3 linked regions of the Lepisosteus oculatus genome follow. The protein of the gene in region 1 binds, or shares a complex with, the protein of each later gene. Links are inferred from orthologs where the notes say so. Each region holds a gene or a part of one and is shown on either strand. Other genes may lie near its edges.

Evidence for each region.
Region 2: smx5 (region 1) and prpf3 share a complex: the UniProt entries of both Homo sapiens proteins name them as parts of the precatalytic spliceosome. The link is inferred for Lepisosteus oculatus from reciprocal best matches to the Homo sapiens genes LSM2 and PRPF3.
Region 3: smx5 (region 1) and lsm5 share a complex: the UniProt entries of both Homo sapiens proteins name them as parts of the precatalytic spliceosome. The link is inferred for Lepisosteus oculatus from reciprocal best matches to the Homo sapiens genes LSM2 and LSM5.

What each region holds. Positions count from the first base shown.
Region 1 is NC_090708.1:10,044,328-10,048,079, forward strand, and holds the start of smx5 (smx5), read right to left. Parts: upstream 2,419-3,752; 5' UTR 2,344-2,418; coding exon 2,341-2,343; intron 1,349-2,340; coding exon 1,281-1,348; intron 573-1,280; coding exon 542-572; intron 1-541. UniProt on the Homo sapiens protein: Plays a role in pre-mRNA splicing as component of the U4/U6-U5 tri-snRNP complex that is involved in spliceosome assembly, and as component of the precatalytic spliceosome (spliceosome B complex).
Region 2 is NC_090722.1:7,132,497-7,136,248, reverse strand, and holds the start of prpf3 (U4/U6 small nuclear ribonucleoprotein Prp3), read left to right. Parts: upstream 1-1,339; 5' UTR 1,340-1,540; intron 1,541-3,552; 5' UTR 3,553-3,559; coding exon 3,560-3,704; intron 3,705-3,752. UniProt on the Homo sapiens protein: Plays a role in pre-mRNA splicing as component of the U4/U6-U5 tri-snRNP complex that is involved in spliceosome assembly, and as component of the precatalytic spliceosome (spliceosome B complex).
Region 3 is NC_090701.1:6,001,148-6,004,899, forward strand, and holds the start of lsm5 (U6 snRNA-associated Sm-like protein LSm5), read right to left. Parts: upstream 2,716-3,752; 5' UTR 2,657-2,715; coding exon 2,611-2,656; intron 1,522-2,610; coding exon of another isoform or gene 1,519-1,521; exon of another isoform or gene 1,439-1,518; intron 1,411-1,438; coding exon 1,315-1,410; intron 774-1,314; coding exon 746-773; intron 187-745; coding exon 114-186; intron 1-113. UniProt on the Homo sapiens protein: Plays a role in pre-mRNA splicing as component of the U4/U6-U5 tri-snRNP complex that is involved in spliceosome assembly, and as component of the precatalytic spliceosome (spliceosome B complex).

The sequences.
Region 1 (3,752 bases):
TTAATGTTGCCATGTTTCAATTAGCGGTAAGGTACGAGTTGGCAATGAGAGTTGTTGACTGTGTTGCATTTCGGGCAACTTAACACCTGAATTATAAATTAGCAGGATAAGACGTGACGTTCTCCAAATATGGTGAGAAAATAAATATGAATATCACTTGCTTCAAAATGCATGGCTGAAAAAATTACCAACTAATAAAATAAACTCTGATTCAATGACAGGGGTTTAACTGCTTAATTTTTATGGAGAATTTTCATGCAAAGCCCCATTACCGACTGCTGATCTGCAATAGCAAGAATGAGAAGGCTGCTTGTCAAACTCCTAAGCCATTTTACAAGAGTTGTCAAGAAACTATCCAACAAGGATAGCTTTTTATCACTCAGAAATATTTTGCAATGACACTGTAAAATACAAATACGGTAAAGCTAACCTTTCACAACCTGGAATGAAAAAATGATTTTCACTATTGCCACTTTTACATTTGTGGATTTAACAGGGAGAAGATATACATAAAAATAGAATAGAGAAACAAAACACCTACCTGGTCAACTGAATGAAGTGTCCCACAGATACTATAGAAGAGCACACAATAACAAAAAAAAAACATTATAATTAGATAATTTGGGCTCCATAAAAAAATGCTTAAAGGTTTTTTCCTTGTGACTTCATCTTACACTGTTTAACAAAAATGTTGCTATGGATTATGGAACATAAGCTAATTTAATTGCTGTACTGCATCAAGTTCATACTGCCATTGTTGAACTATTTTGTGTTTGGTGGTTTGCTAACACATTTGAAAGCGCTGTCTTAATAAAAACCTTAATATACATTCTAAGCATTCATTGACATTGGAATCGTCTTTTGTATTTCTGATATAACCACCTCATTCCTTCAGGTCTTTATGAATGCTGCCCTTTAGTATTTTAACTTTCTGCTCTGACACACCTATAAGGAGGTACAAACAATATTGTACCTGGACCTTGCTTTCTCTTTTTTTAAATGGATATGATGTGCTGTTATCTTCTGTCATTTTATTCTAGACATTAAGAGATCTTAGTTAAATTCATTGGAGATAACAGGCCAGTGTAAACCCACTATGACAGAGGAGGCCGATCACAGTCCTGCAAGGCCAGTGGATGTACAGGCTTTCGTTCCAGCTTGGCTCTCATCCTGAACAATAAACTCCTCCACTTCCGGAAACTGAGGCAAAACCTTGTTTACAAATTCACCGACTGCCACAACTTCGAAATTCTCTTTCTTTTGGCCAGTGCGGCCCTCACCTTAAATCATTTTTCAGCTCCACCACGACGTCCTTCCCCACAAGGGACTTAAAAAACGAGTAGAATAACTGCAGAGGGAAAGAAAAGGATTGTGAAACCCCCTGCCAGCAATCCTGGCCAAATCACATGAGAATCTACACGGGGTCACTACAAAAAAAGGCAGACTTGGAATTGTGTCTGTAAGAACATCAGTAATACTTTTGAAACATGCCTGGGATAGCACATTAATATCGTGTGATTCTTGCTGTAAACAACACAATTCCAGAATTTCCTTCAGTAAAGGTACCAAAAAGACTACGGGAAAGCAAGAGACGGTCTGGAATAAGTCTGATTTGCAGATACTGCACCGATCAAGCTCGAAATTGAATAACAAGAAGCTGGGCGTTTAAGATGCCTTTCGGGGCAACCTGTTCGGCTCAGCATCTTTCCCTAGAGCACTAAACTAGGCCTTGCCTATCCCAAACCCATGTCCTCAGCGTCTACACTTTTCGTTAGAGATGGGCTCTCCGGCGCTTTACTTAATGAATCATACCTACCGTGTACGGGCGCTAAAAGTTCGCAAATTTTAAGTTACTAATAACAGTTAAGCTAGTAATAGTAACAGTTCAACTGGAATATTCAACAGAGCGAAAAACGTGATCATAGTTTAAATAGCTCAAGTTATTAAAAAAAAAAGCGGAATCGGAATCACCAAGAAACATCCGCGACACACAGACCCTTCGAAACACGTAACGAGCATCTACTTAAAACAAAGCTTTCCTGCGGATTAGACGCACATCCAGCTGCAAAGAGAGGTGAATGCAAACCGTACGGCTGTTCAAAAAACAAGATTTAGCTTTATTACAATGCTCTTTCAAATTTGAATTGGTTGCCAATGGATTAAAGAAATTAATTCTGGTATTTTTTAAAGATATTTTGACGAAACGTTTGAGTAATTTTAATCTCGTCACGGTGCCGGTAGTCAAAACCATTTTCAGAAATTAATTTCTGATAGTGAAAAGAAATGTACACAGAAAGCATTAAAAACTGTTCTCAAAATTGAACAGAAAAGGGATCTCACCATTTTCACTCACACTCGACCCCCACTGCGCCTTTACTCTCCGTTTACATCCCAACGAGAACGGGATTAGAAGTCCTACTCACCCATTGGAGCAACTTCTTTGACGTCATAAAAATGAGCCGAAATGATATTCACCAATCAGCTTTGTCCGCTGGGCGACACGTGGTATAACCATAGAGTTTATGGAAGAAAGAGTAATATTTTATTATCACATGCAGATTGCATCGCCATATTGGTAGAGAGGATACAGGAATTGTGTATTTTCGAAGGGACCTACACACGAAGAATTATATCAGGAAGCTTTCAACAAAAGGCTTTAACTATTATGTCAAAAAGTTACCAAAATAAGTTCTTAGTTATTTTAGGTGTAGTTAATTTTGTTACTGTTATCTGTATCAGTAACTGCAGTGGTTTGTTAACCATTAATAGTCTCTGTAATTAAAGACATGCATAACATTTGAAAATTGAAAACATAAATCACGTTTGCTTTATTGTTTATAAAATATCGCTTCTATTTAGCTTAAAATCAAATCAATACATTTAAGGTAACGAAGATGTATTTAGTATATGTACTAGAACAAAAATGTATTTTTTTCTGTGCATTTTTAACCATAAAAATATTTTTTATTTTCCCACAAATATAAAATATAAAATACACAGTAAAACCTACAACTGTGTTGGTGTTTGTGCTGTGTTCTGTAATGATTTAGACCCTTTTGGAATACGAAGGGAATATTGTTATAGGTTGAGATTTTCTGCTGCTCTGCCCTCTATTGATGAAAATATATACGTATCGGTGTTTCTTAGTTAAAATGAAAAAAATCAGTTTGGTCATTCCAGTTCTAGTTCTAGTTAGAATACCTGTTGCTGATATTATTTCTGGCGATTTTGTTATTCTGAGAAGTGTTTTCACTTAATTTCACTTATTCTTTATTTAACGTTATTGGCTTTACGTCATTATTATCGGTGCTACTTTTTTGGAATATGAGAGTCACTCATTTAATTAAGGTCGGAAAACCATTCAAAACACAGTAAACAAAATGGGGCTCGTCCGGGATTCGAACCCGGGACCTCTCGCACCCAAAGCGAGAATCATACCCCTAGACCAACGAGCCCGCTAGCGCATATGTTTCTAGAAAGCCACATATAAAATAAAATACGTTAGGTGTAAATTAATGGGGCCCAAATGATTGCACAAGATTAAAACACCATGCATGGTACCATAATAATCCACATTTCATTCATATTAAAACAACAATTAGATTGAGTTATACTGCATAATTGCAGTGGAAGTCTCTATAATTTATGGCACTAAAACGTTTGCAGGTAAATCGAGAGTCACCAATAAAAAAGTGAGCCGCAAAGCGTTTAGCAGCCGAAAGGACGGAAACAAAACATCAATCGCTGCATCA
Region 2 (3,752 bases), on another chromosome or scaffold:
AACTAAGTTGAAATTGACCAAAGTATTTAGTCTCCACAATTCTTTCTTTCACTGTTAAGATTACCGAACCTTTATTTTGGAGCCAGAACTTCCAAGCGCTTCCTGTGCCCCTCGATGAGCTCCGGGGCAGTTTGGCCCCCTCTCCGCAGGCCAGCTGCTCCAGCTCTCCCAGCTCTGAAGGGCTGGAGGGGCTGCAGGCGAGACAGCGATGCCACTGATGTGTTCTCATCAGACGAACGGAGGGGACCGCGGTCAGTTTAATTATCCGTGTGGCCTGGGCTCCCACTCTCAGTAACGAGACAGGGTTCTCCCACAGATCATGCTTATCTCACACGGCAGCCGGTGCCCAGACAAGACATACTGCAGATGTAACACTAATACAATGAATTAGTCAAATCAAAACCAGTTTTACCATTAAAAATAACAAACGAGTCTACACAGAACAATCACTTCATTAGCCTTCAGAAAGCAGAACTGGGTCAGAAAAGCGATAGACAATGCAGATTCAATATTTTCTAAATCTTTCTGATGGCAAATTGAGAAGGTTATTTTAGCCCTACTATCACTCTCGTTCACCGTGTCCTTGCCTGTAGAGATGGAATGTGGGGACTGCCGTTTTCTGTCGGCCATTTCACTTGATTGATTCATGTTTCAGGTTGTGCAGGAGTGAGGACTTCCTTTGTATGAGCCAGCTCAGGAGTGAAGGAGAAGCAGATCAAGTCAAGCTCAACTCCATATCGAGACAGGGTGGCTCCAGGGTCAACATTGCTACCTCACAGCGCACGTTTGTACGTGTGGAGTGCAGTGCAGTGTCGGTCATCCATCTGTACTTTTCATTTTTTTCTGCTCGCTTTTCACACAGTCACACCGCCCTCTTGTGGCGCATGCACGAACTGCGCCTCGAACTACCAGAGAAGAAAATTTTCCGTCTTTCTATTGTTGCAACCTTCGTTTAATTATGGGTTTTAAAAACTTTAAGCCGCGTTGTAATTGCTACTACCATGCGAGGCATCTGTTTCACAAAAAATATTTCCAGTAACCACGCCCGACTGTATGGGTTGACTGGGATGTGAAAAGCTGACCCTGCCAATGAAGGATCCCCCGCTAGCGGGCCGGAGTGTTACTTGCAGGGTGTGAATGGTCGTTGAAATCGAAAAATTCGCAAAAGCTAAGTAAAACAACAGACTGCACTAAAATGCCACTGCCCAGCTGCTTTAACTGCAGATAACGTGGAAACGTCACTGAGAAGCAGTCGCTTAAAAAGAATGCTCTCCCCCGTCATGTGACAAGGACTACGGCTTCGTTTACATCCTTTGGGACGATGGGCTTCGTGACGCCATTTCCGCTTCCGGCCGGACGTTCCCTGTACGTTGTTGGTGTCGCGCCGTGCGAGCCGAAGAGTTCACTCTTCTTCGGGAGCTGTTCGGGTTTATTTTACTGTTGAGTTTTTTTTTTCGATTATAGTAATATTTTTTAAAACGAAACTGCTGATATTTTACTTAAAAAGTCAACGTTTACCCATTTCAAGTGAACCCGCGTGGTGAGTACCGATTGGAAGAGGAACGGACGGTGTTAACGCGCCACATTATCGTCGTACTTTTGTTTATCGGTGTAGTTACTGGGGAATATGGGTTTTAGGAAGTGTTTCAGAACTGTTGATGTTCATCAGCGAAACTTTTATATCCCGGATATAATTAGACATTGTAACCGCAGGACTTGAGACTCCTAGTGCACAGGGTCGTGTATGTACGAGGGCATGGATGTGTCACGTTGACAACTTTCTTGTATAATTAATTGAACAGATAGTATAATAATTGCAAAAATGCTTAGTATGTTTCCTGTAGCATCACAGTTAGCACCATAGCGCACTGCTGGGCGTAAGTCCTGGGGTGGATGGGGCAGCTGGGAGGCGGACTATCAACACTGTAAGATCTGGAGTGGATACACTGAGGGGCGCGCTGGGGCTCTCTGAGCTCATGCTGGCAGTGGAGCCTCTGGTGACCGTGTGAGAGAGCGCTGGACTGAGTGACCGTGTGAGAGAGAGCTGGACTGAGGGACCGTGTGAGAGAGCGCTGGACTGAGGGACCGTGTGAGAGAGCGCTGGACTGAGTGACCAGCTGAGAGAGCACTGGACTGAGTGACCGTGTGAGAGAGAGCTGGACTGAGTGACCGTGTGAGAGAGAGCTGGACTGAGTGACCGTGTGAGAGAGAGCTGGACTGAGTGACCGTGTGAGAGAGAGCTGGACTGAGTGACCGTGTGAGAGAGAGCTGGACTGAGTGACCGTGTGAGAGAGAGCTGGACTGAGTGACCGTGTGAGAGAGAGCTGGACTGAGTGACCAGCTGAGAGAGAACTGGACTGAGGGACCGACTGAGGGACCGACTGAGAGAGCGCTGGACTGAGGGACCGACTGAGAGAGCGCTGGACTGAGGGACCGTGTGAGAGAGCGCTGGACTGAGTGACCAGCTGAGAGAGCGCTGGACTGAGTGACCAGCTGAGAGAGCGCTGGACTGAGTGACCGTGTGAGAGAGAGCTGGACTGAGGGACCGTGTGAGAGAGCGCTGGACTGAGTGACCGTGTGAGAGAGAGCTGGACTGAGTGACCGTGTGAGAGAGAGCTGGACTGAGTGACCGTGTGAGAGAGAGCTGGACTGAGTGACCGTGTGAGAGAGAGCTGGACTGAGTGACCAGCTGAGAGAGAACTGGACTGAGTGACCGTGTGACAGAGAGCTGGACTGAGGGACCGTGTGAGAGAGAGCTGGACTGAGGGACCGTGTGAGAGAGAGCTGGACTGAGTGACCGTGTGAGAGAGAGCTGGACTGAGTGACCGTGTGAGAGAGAGCTGGACTGAGTGACCAGCTGAGAGAGAACTGGACTGAGTGACCGTGTGACAGAGCGCTGGACTGAGTGACCAGCTGAGAGAGAGCTGGACTGAGGGACCGACTGAGAGAGAGCTGGACTGAGGGACCGACTGAGAGAGAGCTGGACTGAGGGACCGACTGAGAGAGAGCTGGACTGAGGGACCGACTGAGGGAGAGCTGGACTGAGGGACTGACTGAGGGAGAGCTGGACAGGGACCGACTGAGGGAGAGCTGGACTGAGGGACCGACTGAGGGAGAGCTGGACTGAGGGACCAGCTGAGGGAGAGCTGGACTGAGGGACCGACTGAGGGAGAGCTGGACTGAGGGACTGACTGAGGGAGAGCTGGACAGGGACTGACTGAGGGAGAGCTGGACTGAGGGACCGACTGAGGGAGAGCTGGACTGAGGGACCGACTGAGGGAGAGCTGGACTGAGGGACCGACTGAGGGAGAGCTGGACTGAGGGACCAGCTGAGGGAGAGCTGGACTGAGGGACCAGCTGAGGGACCAACTGAGAGAGCGCTGGACTGAGGGACTGACTGAGGGACCAACTGAGAGAGCGCTGGACTGAGGGACCGTCTGAGAGAGCGCTGGACTGAGGGACCGTCTGAGGGAGCGCTGGACCGAGGGAGCGCTGGACCGAGGGACTGACTGATGTACACGAGCCGAGTGACCGGGTGCTCTGTGTCCGCAGGGCTGGGATGTCGCTGTCGAAGCGGGAGCTGGAGGAGCTCCGCCCCTGGGTGGAGCGGACGGTCAAGAAGGTGCTGGGCTTCTCCGAGCCCACCGTCGTCACGGCCGCGCTGCACTGCGTCGGCAAGGGGCTGGACAAGCGCAAGACCACAGGTCCGTGTGGCCGGCCGGCCGGCCGCTGCCCGTCGCCCTGAGGCCTGC
Region 3 (3,752 bases), on another chromosome or scaffold:
TTGACAGTGTTGTGGCCTGTCAATTGAGTTCAATTTTAAAGGAATCATTGCCTAAACTGTATAAATCACAAGAAAAGTATCACCATTAGGTTTTCCTTTATTAACACACTTACCATGGTGATGTTGTTTCCATTCAATAAGATCTGATCCAGTTTGGTTATCCTCCTTCCCTCTGGTGTGATCTCACTAAAAAACAAGGCTTCCTGAAATAAACGATGCTACTAATCGATAATCACTAATAGTACAGCCTTAAAATGAAAAGAAAACTAACACAAATAAACAACTTTGTACCCATAAGCAATTCACAAAAATCAAATTCTCTGAAATGAGAACACAAGCGATTTTAGTAATGAAAGGTATTTGTGAATTGTGTTAAGATGACACTATGAATTATTAATTGAAATTAATAATACAACATTGTTGTTGATTTTTGACATTTTTATTAAGATTATGATTTTTTTATATTTTATTTTGCTAATGTCTAAAGGCAATAAAGCTAGAAGTTATTAAAATAGTGTACTCCAGTTCTGTAAAAAAATTACATTATGATCAGAATTTAACTCTTCAAATGCACGAGTCAAGATGTAAATAAAGTAACAGACTTTCTTATGTAAGAAAACAAATTGCAATTTGAATATGCATTAATTCAGTGCTCATTTTCAATGAGAAAATTAAAGATTTTTGCCTGTAACAATCTGAACATCATAGCATTTCTTATTTTAGCATGAACAAAACAAAACCTTACAATTCAGTGACATCTTCAAGCACCATGTCTGAGAATGCAAGTAAAGGAAAGCATGTTTTACAAAGTTAAAACCATAAATTGTTATGTTTTTAGTTTTCAGCAATAGATTTAGTATTTTACATCTTATTATATTTTAACGTAAAACAATTCTGTTATAGACACTGCATTGTGCATAAGCTTTCGTAAAACATATGCCAAGTACAATCTTACTGCAAGAAGTTGAATTTTTATGATGTGACCTTGCTTCACTTTAATGGAATTTTATCTCAGGCAACACAATACGCGAATACTCCACCAGACTGTATATTTTTGTCATGATACAATCTGCCATTCCAAAGAAAAGCAAAGATTCTATTATTCACCAGTTTATGACCCATTTTGAATTACAAAATGTGTCTGTATCTGGTAAAAAGGTTTTTCTTGGATGTGCAATCTTGAAATCAATGCTGAAAAAAGACAACATATTGAACAACCAACTAGCTCCATTACTTATTACTATTGATCAAAACTGTTAGTCTTAACTTCACATGTGATGATATACAACATCCATATTACTGTAAAAAGGATACTGACAAAGTCATCAAATCCCAACAGAGTGCCGACAATCTCCTTGTCGTTCTTCATCACAATATGAATCCGGGAACCAATACATTTGTCCACAAGCTCTAAAGAAGATAACGGGAGGGGAGAGGAGAGAACAAGGAATACTGTGATAAGATTTCAGCTGTTTCATAGAACTTAGCCACATCTGCTGACACTTCTAGGATACTGTAATGGTAAGTTACCCTTGTTATATAAAAACATCAGAATGACACAGGAGAAATCACTAGAACTGATTACTTCACAGACACAAATATAAATTAAGCGGACATTTTTAGACAGCAGCAGTGCTCATGAACAGACTTCAAGGATACGGGGGTTAAACATATTCGAAACAAGTAACATGATCAAAGAATAAACTGCTCCGAAAACAAGTTCATTGGATATCATCGACCTCATTAGCAAAATAAATGACATTTTTTCTTCTAAAATAGGAAAATTATATAAAAAAATGGATTTTCCTCTGCTCACGATAAATACAATGTTTTAATGATGTAAGTCGACACAATCGAGGAAGTTATTGCTGTAACACACAGCGTGAGACGGCAAAGAATAACCATACAATATGATGTGGAATTGTTTCATCTACAAGAAAATAATAATCCACAACTTCGTGCGGAAACTTGGAGTGTTAGAGACGCTGATGCCGTGTACACATATTACACATTGGCATATTACACATTTATTACAGTAAATGCCCTGCTTTATAAACAGATCCATTGCACCATGGAAATGATCGTTTGTTCCCTACTGCCTTATCTGGTTAATTAATAACATGACTAGATGGACATAGCTAGGTATAATTTCACATTAGCGAACATAAACCGTCAACGAACGCTTCTACTTTTTTTTTGTTCTTTCTTACTTTTTGGGAAATATTCGGCTAAACACTACAGCAAAGATTGAGACAGTACCGTGTTTGGACTGTTTAGAAATGGGCCAAGTCGTAAACAAAAATTAGTAATTTACAGGAAAGTTGCGTATAGACAAACTTAGCATTACAGTGCAATGAGGGACAGATACATAACTGCAACTCAATACTTCAATTCATAATTCAAAAAGAACAAAAACGAACGATTGGGTTAATTCACGGACCACCTGCACGTCCTTATTAAAACCGGCCAGTTGGCAGTCTTAGGCTATAGACGCTTGTGGTATATTTTTTAGATTGTAAAATGTACACCACCGACGGTACTACTTAGGCAGGTCTTAGTACTTCAACAACTTCGCGTTAAAATGTTTTGCTTCACGTTTAATTCACATACCAAGCGGGAGCAATTGTGAAGGGTTTGTAGCCGGAGCCGCCGCCATGTTTGAAGGAAGGTAGACTCGACCAATCGAAGAAAACTTCAACGTGCAAATCAGACAGAAACAATCGACACCCGACCGTCACCTAATGTATATTAGAAAACAGAGCGGTGTGATGTTCTTCTGCTCGCACGAGAACCAGCTCAAGTTTTCAAGTTTGTTGTCATTACACTCATATACATGGTATATGGTATAACGAAATGCTATTTAGCTAGCTCTCGGAAATAAATAGTACAAATAGAAAAAAACAACAACAGGCAATGTGCAAAAAACAACAACAGGCAATGTGCAAAATAACAAAAGGGTAACAGGTTATGTGCAAAAATATGCATCAACAGAATAAAAGGGATAGAAATGATGGGGAGTGAGCTTTTGACATGTATGGTAGAGGTAGATTTTCAATGTGTGTTTGGATTTTTGGTAAGAAAGAAAGGAAGAAGGCACTGTGAGGTTCAGATCACAGGTGAGAGGTGAGAGTGAGAGTGAGAGTGAGGGAGGCTGGGAATTTAACTATAGAGGAGCTTCAAAATAATTAACTTCACCGAATAGTGTACCTCAAAGCCTTTTTCCAACTGGCGTGTAAACATCCAATCTTTTAGACGAATTCAAAACATTGGACCGCGGCGTTTGATTAAGTTGACAGTATTAATAAGTATTCTCATGACTGTAGTTCAGGTGGGTAGCTGCGTCAGCATGCGTAGGCTGCAAAGGAACAAGTAATAGGTTTATTCCATGCTGAAAAAAAGAAGAAAGAGAACACAGCGTTTCGGCCACACCTGAAGAAGGCTCCAGGCCGAAACGCTGTGTTCTCTTTCTTCTTTTTTTCAGCATGGAATAAACCTATTACTTGTTCCTTCTCATGACTGTTTCCAGTATTTTTTCCGTTGTTTTAATACCTAGCGAAGACTGCTCAGGCCTCTGCCAAATGACGAATCGTGGTGTGCTTAATCACTGTACGTTTGTTATCTATAATGTCAGGCGATGCGTGTGCGCCCACGGTATGAGCGAATTAAAACGACCAGGTACTTCTGACCATGTGAAACGGGGAGAGTGTTCGCGTGTGGCGCAGTACGTGTACACCGCTACGGCAGCGGCCAGG